Linked DNA regions of Mus musculus: regions 1, 3 and 4 are each reported to be linked to region 2. Evidence: microRNA targets listed by miRTarBase, many of them from high-throughput screens and not tested one by one. Region 2 holds a microRNA gene; each other region holds the end of a gene's coding sequence.

What was found. The annotated mature microRNA mmu-miR-223-3p reads UGUCAGUUUGUCAAAUACCCCA and lies in region 2 at 1,848-1,869, opposite strand. An mRNA with a match to its seed (bases 2 to 7 or 8) in the 3' UTR can be bound and repressed. Matches are read on the target gene's strand: a 7mer-m8 pairs with bases 2 to 8, a 7mer-A1 pairs with bases 2 to 7 and ends in A, and an 8mer does both.
Region 1: miRTarBase lists Slc25a46 as a target of mmu-miR-223-3p. The part of its 3' UTR that is shown has no 7-base or 8-base seed match.
Region 3: the mRNA of Rragc is a reported target of mmu-miR-223-3p. The part of its 3' UTR that is shown has no 7-base or 8-base seed match.
Region 4: miRTarBase lists Camk1d as a target of mmu-miR-223-3p. Seed matches in the 3' UTR shown: 7mer-m8 at 1,388-1,394.

The regions. Positions count from the first base shown.
Region 1 is chr18:31,580,530-31,583,695 of GRCm38, reverse strand. It overlaps Slc25a46 (solute carrier family 25, member 46), which reads left to right. Exons shown (of 8, transcript NM_026165.4): 8 at 1-3,166. The coding sequence ends at 505. Among named protein-coding and RNA genes, the nearest start is that of Gm38606, 11 kb to the right of the region's middle.
Region 2 is chrX:96,241,587-96,244,752 of GRCm38, reverse strand. Mir223 (microRNA 223) reads right to left here and starts at 1,936; the gene lies at 1,827-1,936. It overlaps F630028O10Rik (RIKEN cDNA F630028O10 gene), which reads right to left. Exons shown (of 3, transcript NR_030718.1): 3 at 1,111-3,166.
Region 3 is chr4:123,935,343-123,938,483 of GRCm38, forward strand. Rragc (Ras-related GTP binding C) reads left to right here. Exons shown (of 7, transcript NM_017475.2): 7 at 196-1,655. The coding sequence ends at 347. Among named protein-coding and RNA genes, the nearest start is that of Rragc, 19 kb to the left of the region's middle.
Region 4 is chr2:5,296,349-5,299,514 of GRCm38, forward strand. It overlaps Camk1d (calcium/calmodulin-dependent protein kinase ID), which reads right to left. Exons shown (of 11, transcript NM_177343.4): 11 at 1-2,753. The coding sequence ends at 2,635. Among named protein-coding and RNA genes, the nearest start is that of Gm36906, 17 kb to the right of the region's middle.

The DNA of each region.
Region 1 (3,166 bases), not on the chromosome of region 2:
AGTGCCTCACAGCAAACGCCTTCTTCCACTGTTTTCATTGATCTTCCCAACAGTGCTGCATGGAGTTCTTCATTACATTATCAGCTCCATCATTCAGAAGATTGTCCTTCTAATTCTGAAGAGAAAGACCTATAACAGCCACCTAGCTGAGAGCACTAGCCCCATGCAGAATATGTTGGATGCCTATTTTCCAGAACTTATTGCGAACTTTGCTGCCAGCCTTTGTTCTGACGTTATACTTTACCCACTGGAAACAGTTCTGCATCGTCTTCATATTCAAGGAACACGCACAATTATTGACAACACAGACCTTGGCTACGAAGTACTTCCAATTAATACGCAGTATGAGGGAATGAGAGACTGTATAAATACCATAAAGCAGGAGGAAGGAGTGTTTGGTTTCTATAAAGGGTTTGGTGCTGTTATAATACAGTATACACTGCATGCAACCATCTTACAGATTACCAAAATGATTTACTCCACACTTCTTCAGAATAGCATTTGAGATTTAGGTTCTATGATTGGCTGAACCAAAAGATGTTGGATAATTTGCTATGACATTTCAAGTAATAAAAGTAAAAATACTGCGCGGAAAGAAATAGGCTGGGAATTACCACTGGTGGAAAACCTCATGCTAATTATTCTGACTTTTTATTTTTCTTAAGGCATAGATATATAGATATATAGATATATAATACTGGGTCAAACCTTTCCAAAATTGAAAACTCAATAAAGGTAATACTTTAAATTTAAAATGTAAAGTTACATTTTAGTATAACACTCATGCTGAAGTAAAATTGATCCTGGGGAGAAACAAAAAATGTATCAAGTATAAAATGAAATTGCAATGACTTGAATCTGTTTTACTGACCTTACTATTTGTTATGTTTGTTTAACTTGGATTCAGGTCACTGTGTTAATTATTAAAGCAGTGGATAGTGCTGGGATTTTACCTTTAAGCAAATAGAGTATGTCACCGTTGAAAAGAACTGGTGATTAGCTTTGGCACTGTGTAAGCAGTGGCTGAAGGGTTTAAATTGTATTTAACCATTTTAATTGCTGTATATATTTATTATATGGAGCCATTTGTGTCTGTGTGTACATGTAACTTGGAATTTCCTTCTTCCCTGCCAGTTTTCATAGACCAGCTTATTGCATCAAATGAAGGTAGACACTTTCTGCTGGAACATCAAGTATAAGACATCAAAATGCCAGAAAATAGCTTTTTTACCTGCATCCTGTCCAGCATTGCAGTGTCAGAAACTTGAAATTTGTCCTTTGCTTGTGATGTTTGGATCATCAGATGATTTTAGCTACTTTTAAAGAGCCTAACAATCATGGCAGCCATGACCGTTTCCACACTTACGTTAAGGAGCCCCACCTGTCTTTCATTTCTCAAAGAACTTATCTGAGAGGGAACAAAATGAAAGTTCTGGGGATTTGTGCCTCTTGCTCACCATAAATAATCACTGCAATCTTTCTTTTTTCTTTCCTTTTTTTGTATGTGTGCGTGTGTGTGTGTGTGTGTGTGTGTGTGTGTGTGTGTGTATGTAAAGTTTTATTCTCCAAATAAGCTACCCTGAAGATAAAAATGAGACATTCTTGGTACTCTTTATTTAAACTTGCTTGGATAAGTACTGAATTAAAGTACAAACCTCATAGGAAATTTGCCCTTATGTGTTACGAAGGAGGAGGAGGAGACACTATATTTCAACAAATGAAACTTGTTAATCAGCTTAATAAAATGAAGTTGATGTGTTCCCATGGTGGATTAGACTCTGTAATAAAGTGATGTATAGTTCACTGGTCACTCATGCAGCAGTTAGCATTTTATTTCTTCATGGCTATGCTCAAGTTTACAAACACTGAAGTGCAGTGCCTGCAGGTGTTGCCCAACCTAGAATGCATGCAAACTAACACTGATGTTACATGTTAAATGTTGCAGAGGGTGTTTGGACTGTGACTGATCAGAGTGGAAGCTTAATATGGTCGTGGAAAAGCATGAAGTAAGGTGTCAGTAGCAGCTGTCCCTACCAGTCTGTGTCTTTGGAGTAATGCTGTCAACTCTTCAGTTCCTCAAAAGGGAAAATAAATGCTGTTGATCACATTCTGTATTTTATGGTTAATCTCTTAACGTGTTTTTCTCTGTGTAAAAATGGGGTTAACATTTTTTACTGACTTTTAGCTGCTAAATTTTTAGGTGTTTATAGTCACCTTCCTCAGAATTTCATTTTGTAAGTCAAGGTAGTTTCAGAGAAGAAACCAGAAAATTTTGGTTTCAGAAAATGTTTAGAACAGTCTAAATGGAATCAAATATTTACTGGGTAAATTTTGTGGAATTTTCCATGTGCCTGAAGATTAGATATTCAAGGATTATTTATTGACAGATACCATGAATTTAGTAATATAAATTTATTGCATCTGAAGTCAAAATGCTGCTGCTGAACTAAATACATGATTAGTCTCATTTCCTGTTTCCTTGCAGAAATCCACGCAAATTACCTTAAAATAAAGATGGAGAGAGTTTTTTTTTCTAACTGCTTTTTTTTTTAAATTTGTTAAAATGTAACCTTTGAAAGTCAAACACATTTTAGTTGGCCAGTGTTTCTCAGTGAATTGATACCTTTTACACTCAGTATGACAAATAGCCCCGTAGATGTGATTCTGTTAAGTAGAATGCAACAAAGCACTCACTCGCTGATTGTGCAAAAAAACGCTACAGTGCTTTTATTCGAGAATCTCATAATCTGAGAAGCAGAAGACGCTGCCTTGACAGCTGTACTGTTGTTGGTCGAGGTCATGGAGGATGTGTGCTGTCTATGTGGGTGTGGATGCTGTAGAACAGAAAAGACATTTCCAGCTCCTGCAAAAACTACCTATGTGGAGAGCCGTGAACAATCGCCATTACAAGATGGCGCTGGCTTCTGCAGTGCCTAACTAGTAAACAAGCAATGTGCACGGGTGCTGGAGTAAATTCGTGCCAAGTCACTGCCCATCTCGGGGTGTAGCAGTGGGGTGATGAGTGAGCAGCTAATCAGGAGCTGACGCGTCACACGGAGGGGTATTTAAGCAGCTCCATTTTCCGGGTTCAGGGTCTTCCTGAGAAGTAAGCAATAAAAAGCTTTGCCGTAGAAGGACCCGGTTGTCCGAGTGTGTTTTGCTGGCG
Region 2 (3,166 bases):
CAAAATCTCAGCATTTTCTTCTTTGACAAATGCTAGCTATGCATAATTAGTGTCAGAGATGACTTCTTCTTCTCCATCTCACTTACCAGCCTCCACAACCTGGGTACCACCCAGTAGAAACCTCAGCTTCCTTCATGAAACATCTGTGAGTCCAGCCCTGAAAGCCTTGAAAACACCCTTTATCTCATTCTGCTCTTTAGAATTAATCCCTGGGCTTGAAGAGAGAATGTTTATTGAAATTGCCCTAGTAAAGTGAGCCACAAATTCAGGGAACCCCCAACACTGGAACCACCAGGAATGTCTCCTATTCTTGCATGTGAAAATGTTTACAGATTACTTATCTGAACATTCACATACCACAAATTGGGAAGTGAAGCCCAGAGAGAAATGAAGGTTTGTCAAAAGTAACATACATCAAGTCAATGGCAGAACAAAGACTGGAGGTTAGACCTGTGGATTTTTAGCAGTGTGTGTACTTTGCTGCAGACATCTTCTGAAGATGGTCTTTGTCCCTAAACAATGGTATTTTTCCATGCAGGGTAAGCCAGTAAGTCATCCCTAGATAGAGATGCATCCCTCCGACAATTCTGAGCAAAATTGGGGTAACAATATGGGTCTTGTTATTTAGGTCACTGGTTAGTGGGTGAAAAGTTAAAGAATGAAAGTAGGTATCTCCAGAACCAAGGGAGAGTATGGAATTTCTCCAGAACCAAGGGAGAGTATGGAATTTCTCTAAAGAAGCTTGCCAAAATATATGTTATGAAATGTTAGACTCTGGAGAGAGGGATTGGAGATGCTTCATTTTATAGTTCTATATTAGAAGTTCACCCCAGTGCAATGATAGAATATTAAAGGCTCAGAAAATTCTGTTTAAAAAGACACGTGTAAACCAATAATTCAAAAAATTTTTCCCTCTGAGTCTATTCTTTCTTCTTGCCCTCCTGCCCCAGACCTAAATCTTATTTCTCAGAGGAAAAAAAAATCCATTTTGGTTACCATCTTGTATACACTATAGCATTAGAATACCCACAGTTTGATTTATTTTTTTCGCAAAACCCTGGTTGGTATTTGACCTATATAGCAAAAGGTTATTGACTAGTAAAACATCAATTAATTGGTAAATATTTATTAATAATTAAAATGTTGGACAATGGTATGAGAGACAGCAATCAACTGAATATAATAAGCTCTAGATTCTTACAATATAATAGGGAATTCAAGAACATACCCTGGAAAAATTCACTGACAACTTTAGAAGATGTGTTGGATGGTAGGACATATAATAGCACATACCAGTATGTGGTTAGCCAAGGAGTAAAGAAAAGTATAGGTTAACTTTCAATAGTGCCAAGAGGAATTGGAATTTGGTAGTGTCTGAAAGCCCAATGAAGATAAACAAGAAGGTTCTTTTAAGAATGATAAAAGCAAAGTGGAAAAGAGAAAATGTAGGTAGCTTAAGATGTGCTCCGAAGGCCAGACAGTGGATATTTATTTCCTACTTTCTCATAGAATTCATGATGCTTGTATGAAAATTCTGCTATTCTGGCTGCAAGAAGAGGAAAGTGAAAGAAGACATTAATAATAAATCAAATAATACTCTCATTCCCTGTATCCCTCATGTACCACTATGCAGTCCATGGCATTTTCACAATGTACACAGATGCATACCAGACTTGTAGACCCCAGAGCTGCATCGTTCCTACTCTGATGTTCTCTGAATAAATGTTATAGTTCCCTTAAAGACATAGAATAACACCAGAGAGCTTCATGTTTCATAAGCATTCATATGTAGGCAGCAGGCTATGTGCTCTGTCCTGGACCTGGAGCTGATAGGCATGAGCCACACTTGGGGTATTTGACAAACTGACACTCTACCACACAGAGTGTCCAACTCAGCTTGTCAAATACACGGAGCGTGACACTGCAGATGGCCAGATCAGGAACCTCCACTGGGCAGCAAGAACATGCTGGAAGATGTGCAACTGGAAAGAGAAAAAAATAGGGTGATTATATCTTACCCTAAGTGTGAGACAAATGGCAGACACTAACATGACTGACTAAGACACACCAAAAGAGGGAAGTGAACAAAACACGCTAATGCTCCAAACAAAAACGGGGATCCTGGGTGTTTGTCTGGAGATTCTGGTGGCCCAAGCCTCAATTAACTCTTCTATTCAGCTGAAACAGGAAAAAATTGTCATCATTCTGTCCTCGGGGACAATTTATGTGTTCCTTCCTCCTATCAACTTCTTGTATGCTCTGTTTACCCTGGTTATGTACCTAGATGTTGATTTTTAAAACTGGATTTGAATTCTACCTCTACCATTAACTAGCTGAACACCTTAAATAAATGAGTTTATGTCCCTGAAACCTACTTCTTCCATAGCCACAAAAATGCCCATGAAATCATGGCAAGAATATGTAATAATGCATATAAAGCCATTAATTTAGTGTTTGTTACCTAACAAATACTCAAAAATTGTGGCTATAGCCAGGTATGATAGTACATGTGTGCATACAAGCTTTCATAGACAGAGATAGGAGAACCTCAGATTTAAAGTCAATTTGGGCTATATAATACTACCCTTTCTCAAACAAAAAAGTAAACAATCAAGATCTAGAGATAAAACTCAGTAGCAGAACACTTACCTAACTTGTACAATACTCTGTATTTGATCCCCTGTACATAAATAAAAGTGACTAAAATGTGCTTTAAAATTAAACATATAAGATAGATACTAACAGGGGAAAAGATAGATAATTTATTTAACAGAATTGAAACAGTAATTTCTTGTGGCCTTAGCCGGCTTTGTCTAACTTGGTTGCCTTTTCTCATAAGCAGTAAAGAATTAATGATATTAAAATGCCCTTATAAGTCATCTAGTTTTACCCATTCAAGATTATAAATGAGAAAATGAAGTCTGATGTTTAGGGAAAGACTTCCAAAAGGTCATAAAACAAGTTGTTTACAGTTTGGGAATTATATCATCCATCAGCTCATTGTGTCCCTTGGCTGTCCACCCCACCACTTTTTCTTGTCTGCTTTTTATATTCCCTTGCAAAAGGGAGAGCAACAGCAACAAAGAGCAAAACAGGCAGTGGATTTTGCAGGGAAGTATTAAGATGTTTGAACTCATAGCTACCAGGGCAGCTGCCAGAAGAGCCA
Region 3 (3,141 bases), not on the chromosome of region 2:
AGGATTTAACACATTCATCTTCCCACTTGATTTGTTAGATTACCAGTTCTCACTGTTCACGTCTGTCCTAGAGGTAACAGTGTTAGCTGCTGGATTCTTGGCTTTACAGTGATTGATTGCAGTGTGAAGAGTTTCGGAGAGAGGGGAGCTTCACAGTTGGCATTTAAATAGACAGGCTCTTTCTCTCTCTTGTAGGGTTGATAGACTACAACTTCCACTGTTTCCGAAAAGCTATCCATGAGGTGTTTGAGGTGGGTGTGACTTCTCACAGAAGCTGCAGTCATCAGACCAGTGCTCCAAGTCTGAAAGCCTTGGCACATAACGGCACGCCTCGGAATGCCATCTAGTCTGAGTCTCAGCAGCGGAGGCTCAGTGCTGGCTTAGTCCTCCCTCCAGGGTCAGATGCCATGCACTGCAGGACATGAGCGCTGCTGCCTATGGAGTCTGGAGACGATGACGACGGTGGAGTTTCTCTGCTGACGAGAGCCCCTCAGCCGGCTGTGTGCAACTGAAGCTACTCTCTAAGTACATCGCAAAAGAATTGCAGAGACCTCAGAACTCAGTGTGTCTTTTCTTCTCTCTTGAGCCCTACTTTAAATAGCTGGGATATTTTGGACCTGGAGATGATAACCAGTTAGCCATCTTTACCAGTGAATGTTGCTGTCAGTCCCAGCCTAAAACAGTAGGAAACTGAGTTTTATATGCTTCCCTAGGCCTTCACTTGAGTAGTGTCGAAAGACTTGCTTTGCTTACGTTCTAACACTGCCTTTCAGAGTTCAGATCTCACTGTACCTCTAAGACCTTGGAAGTGCATTACCTTGCTGATTCAGAAGACCAAGCGAAGGATGTTTCTGAAGAGAAGAGGAAGTTTTTGTGCGGCATCGGGGAGAGCCAGGCTCAGCAAGGGCAGCATCAGATCTCTGGATGTGTTGGAAAAACTTTGAAACAGAAGTGATTTTCCACAGCTGTGGTTCAGGTAGCAGAGGGCCGTGCTCTCCTCGCCTGATCATGACCATGCACAATGCAACAAAGGGAATTTAAGACAGAAAGACTTCCCCACAGTCCCCCCAGTGAAGGGACAAACTCATTATGTCACTGAAGTACTTAGCTCACTTTTCTTTAATCTCGATGCCATGGCTTTTATTCTATGCTATGTAGGCTCTTTACGAATTGTTTTTGACCACAGATGACCCTAAGGGCTCCTGCGAACCGTCCTCTGGGGATTGGCGGAAGCATGCGGTGGTGCAGCTGCAGCGTGTGCAACTTCACACACTCTGCGGTCGGTTGTCTGACACCAAGTGTCAGCTGTGCTACTTTGCTTTGCCTGAGATATGAATTCATAATTGTTCCCTGTTGTTCATGGCTGATACCCTTCCCACTGATTTAGGCTTTCACATTTTCTTTACTACACATGCCCAGTAGTCACATTCCAAAGCCACTGGGCCCCTTGAGTGCGTCAGTGCAGCTGGTGAGTGAAATGTACTCAGGTCTGTAACCTAGCAGTGAGACTTGGAGCACTTCCTGCAGATGACTGACTGTTGCGAATTTACATGGACCACGGTGATATCCAAAGGAAAAATGCTTTTATATTTATAGATTATTTCATTGAACTATATGTAAAATGGGTATCAATAAATGTATTTACTCCAAAGTCAGTGTTTGTTGTGTGATGTGTAAGAGTGCTTCTTTTCTCACCATTCCTCTGTCCTTTGCTGCTGTGTGCAGTCACCATTCCTTCTGTTCAGCACATCTGCTTTTGTCTTGAGATCATTTTCATGGCCCATTTCTGCTGTGGAGTAGGTGTGGGCTCAGGTGAGAACATGTTTGGATTTGTGGTTTTATGTTAACAGACCTCTCTGGTACTGGGGAGCATCCAGAGCCTGGCATGACTTGTACATTGCATCCAGGCAGAACAGTAAGGAGGCTGAGGTGAAACAGGAGTAGAAAGAGCATGGTGGGCTGGCTCAGCTGGTGAAAGTGCTTGTCACTGAGCCTGGTGACCTGAGTTTAATCCCTGGGATCCACATGGCAGCAAGCAAGAGCAGAGTCCTGCAAATTGTCTTCTGACCTCCACAGATACACTGTAGCTGATGGCTGCCCCTACCCACTAACCATGCAAAAGAGCCCCTAAAATCATGGTACCAAGTTTCCTAGGTACTCATTACTAACCTTTGGATTCAGTGTTTACATTAGGTTGAGTCTAAACTGACTGAAGAACTAGTCATTAACTAGAGGAGGTATTGTTTGAAGGATGTTTCATTTCACAATTGGACTACTTTAGAAGTGAAACTCTGAAATAGAAATGACAAGCTGTTTGAAAAGATCTATTAATTGTATCTAACAGTTCCCTGTAAGTTTTCACACGATGGAACCAGGTCAGGATGGGTAAAGAGCCTTGCTGAGAGCTGCAGATAGGATGGTGTGTACCTTAAACTCCAAGCCAAGGGAGTTCTCGGGCTGAAGAAATAGCTGTAAAGCTGTGCTGTGGGTAAACTGAGGTGTCCAGATGTGTCATAGATGTGATTGATAGCCCAGGAGGGCGTGTAAAGCTGTGCTGTGGGTAAACTGAGGTGTCCAGATGTGTCATAGATGTGATTGATAGCCCAGGAGGGCGTGTAGTCCAGGCTAACACCTGTATTCCTCATTTGCCTCCTGCCTCAGACTCAGGCTTGGTGATGCTGTTTTCATAGCATCATAGATTTGCGTAGCACAGCTGCATACACATGTGGCCTTAGCTACTTGGGGCCAGTGCAGAAGGGCCACTTAAGCCACTTAACCCCCAAGCTGTGAGATAACTTTTTTTTAAAAGGAAAAAAAAAAAAAAAAACCAACCAAATGACAAAAACCTAAGTATAGTGTTAAGCCCCAGAGACAGGAGAATCAGCGGCTTTGAAGCATGGTACTTAAAGCTGGTACACAGTTCTAGGCCAGCCTGAGTGAGAGAGTGGAGACCTTGTCCTAAAACAAAAATACAAAACAAAACAACAACAAAAAAACATATTTCAGAGGAGCTTGATGTGACAAAATTATAACCTGACAAAATAAATGCAGGGATGATTAAGAAAGGCAAAAAGACAGGAGGTGGTGGCACACATCTTTAATCTCAGCAGTTGGGGAGACAGGCAGGTGGGTCTCTTTAGT
Region 4 (3,166 bases), not on the chromosome of region 2:
CTGTCACTTCCTAACCCCAACATGAAGCTCCAAACTCTAGGGATCCCTTGCTTTAGAATGAGAAGCTGTTGGCTCTGTGGAGACGTAGTGAGAGCGTCCACTCACGGTTGGTCTTGGATGAGTATTAGCTGCTCTTTCTGCCTCAAGTATAGGTAAAGGGCAGGACCTTGGGGGGAGGACAGGCAGGAAGCAGAGGGAGAGACTCTCCTGGAAGTATTTCAATATTTCATAACCAAGTAAGGATATGCATGCCCACTTGCCTAGCAAATGTGAAAAGGCAATATAATGGAGGTGTGGGGAGAGACTGGTGTTAGCAACCCAGTCTGAGAGGGGGGCCTGTATGGCCACACGGTGCTGCCAAGCACACTGGTATGTTCATTCATTACACTGGTCCTGCACTTCTCCGCTTACGTCTCCAGACTCTGAGAAGAGTGGGGGAGCTAAGACTTTGTCACCCCCACTTCCAGGTCTTAAGACTAAGTCCATTCTGTGTTCTCATATATTATTTTATAATACTATCAAGTGGAAGCGAAACTTTAGCTTTCGACCACGATGACTCTTAGAAGACTCTTTCCAGTGGCATTTATTTTCACCCTTCTTGAAACAGTAGGAAATGATGTCATGCACGGGCTTCCTGACAGCATGTTCAATCTTGCCTACTACTGGGCTGGCACTGGCCATCACTGCCTTATACAAGTACATGGAGACCTGATGTGTCAAGGTTGAACCAAGCATGGTTGATTGCAAGGTACCTGTACTAGGGCTTTCTCTTTACCTGGTCTGTATTTATTTGATACACATGAGAACAGGGTATACCAGATGTCTGAGTTTGAAATCGCTCTTATATATCTTGTACAGTGTCCTTTGCAGAGTTGCCTGTCTAGTGACAGTGTGTGTGTGTGTGTGTGTGTGTGTGTGTGTGTGTGTGTATGTACACGCATGGGAGAGGGCTGGGAGCAAAGTGTAGGGGTGACAAGAATGACTTACTCGTCCAGCAGGAATTTCTATGGCTGGCAAGTACATAAAAAGGGCATGAGGACAACAGCCTGAGATGACAGCCCCTGAGTCATGAGGGAGACCTGTCACAGTCCATCTTGGCAGGCTACAGTTGACTGCAGATGAGGCTCAGGCTTTAGACAGACATGAGAGCTGAAGGGAACCGTTGGCAAAACTGCCTTTGAACGACCTGCCTTGCTCTCCAAGAGCCTCCGTGGAGAATGTTTGCCCTGGACTATGCTTGGGCCTGCTCTTCCTCCATATCTACCCTCTGTGCATGTGGGTCAATGAGATGGACATTCCTGACTTTAGCCTTCAAGTTCCACTTCCTGGAAAATCCTTCAGTCCCTGTTAAACCAGGATGCACAATAGCCTGACTACCACAGGTCCCGTCAGTTTTAGATTCCTCCGATGTAAGGGAAGGCTTGTGCACCAACCAGCTGGATCTTGCTGAGTTAGCCATCTCTGGGATGGGCAGTATTCTGCTCATTTGATGCGATTTTCCTTTCCACCTAAAATAAAAGGTTTCTTCTTCAAGGTCATTTCTGTCCCCTCTCTCGGGTAATGCTCATGAGAGAACAGGGTAAAAATGTTGGGGAGAAAGTGTGTGGTATAGGCCATTTGAAGGGTACTATTAGAAATGAATTTTAAAAAATTAAAATAGATAAAGAGATTCGTTTTAAAAGTGCATAGCTGAGAACAGAGTTTCATCTATCATCCCCCATGAGAATTGAGGGCTGCGTGTGGTTCATTTAAAAAACAAGATGGCAGTCCGTCCGTCCCTTCTTCAAGGGAGGCTCCTAACTCTTGGCACTGTGGGGAATCCCGTTCCCGGAGTGCGGTTCACCTGTAATGTGGAGCCTGAAGTTCAGAGTGGAGGAAACAAGCTTCTATCTTCTGTGGTTGGTAAGCAGTTCTCAGGGGAAGCTGCCTGTACGGTTTCTGCTGGTTCCCTGCCAAAAGCCACCCTGCGAGAAGCCAGCCCGGCACAGCTGTTGGGGTGACCTCTGGAAGAAGGGACTGGGAGCAATGGAACACAAGTAACAAGTGCACTCTTAGAAGTGGACACAGATTCTTGATCCTCTTAGAATTCGTAAAAAATACCCTTTAACCCTTCTGGGAGGGGAAAAAAATCTCTTAAAGGTTAACGTAAAACTAATATTAAAGAGCAAATGATAGAGGTCATGTAACTAACAGAGATCAAAAGGACACATCTCAAAAGAAAAAAAATAATTCCTAATGCACAACATGTACCAATATTTAAATAATCCAGTTGAAACCTTGATTTTTTTTTCCATGAAAAAAATACACCCTAGACGGCTGCCTACACTGAGAGAGCGGAAGTGGTGGAGTTGGGGGAGGGGAGCAAGAAGGTCCATTCAGTTAGAGCTTTGCAAGATTCTTATATACAGCACCAGATCCCGTGACGCCAGCTCCCCTTGAGTCAGTCAGTACAGTTTGTGAGAAATGAACACATCAGAATTGCAGTATAAAATATGGCCATAAAAAACCTTCTATCTTCCAGTCCTATGCAGGTGCACCATGCAGGGTGGGTGGGGTTTCTGATGCAGGAGCTGCTCCGGCCAGGGGCTTCTCCTTCCCCGGCCCTGCCCCCTGGGTTCCACCTCCAGAGCCGGGTCACTTGCTTCCAGTGTGCCCTGTTGTCACAGTGGTGGGCCTGGGTCTCCTCTCAGCTCCGACTCCTGCGACCCCCGACGAAGAAGAAAGGAAACTACAGAGCGTGGAAGGTGCCAGACCTGCCAGGGACAGCAGATGAGAATTAAATTCACACTCCCCTTCCCAGAAAGAGGCTCAAATGTGCTGGGCTCTAGGGATGAAACTTATATTTAATTGCTAGGCGGGCCCTCTACCCTCCACCCCTGAGCTATACAGCCACATGCTGAACTTTCGTTATCTTATTATAGGAAAATCTCTACCATGTGTTGAATTGTTGTATTCTCTGGTCCAACTTTTGGGTCCTTTTTTCTTTATAATTGCTTCATATTTGAAGATGATGTAGCATGTCCATCATGCCACATGATATCGGAGGTCCCATTTTCTATATACTCTTTGCTATACACTAGGATAGCATACCACTATCTATATACTAGGCACTAAGATGGGTGTGGATTATATAGCATCATTATTAGATTGTTCATTTCTTTAATTT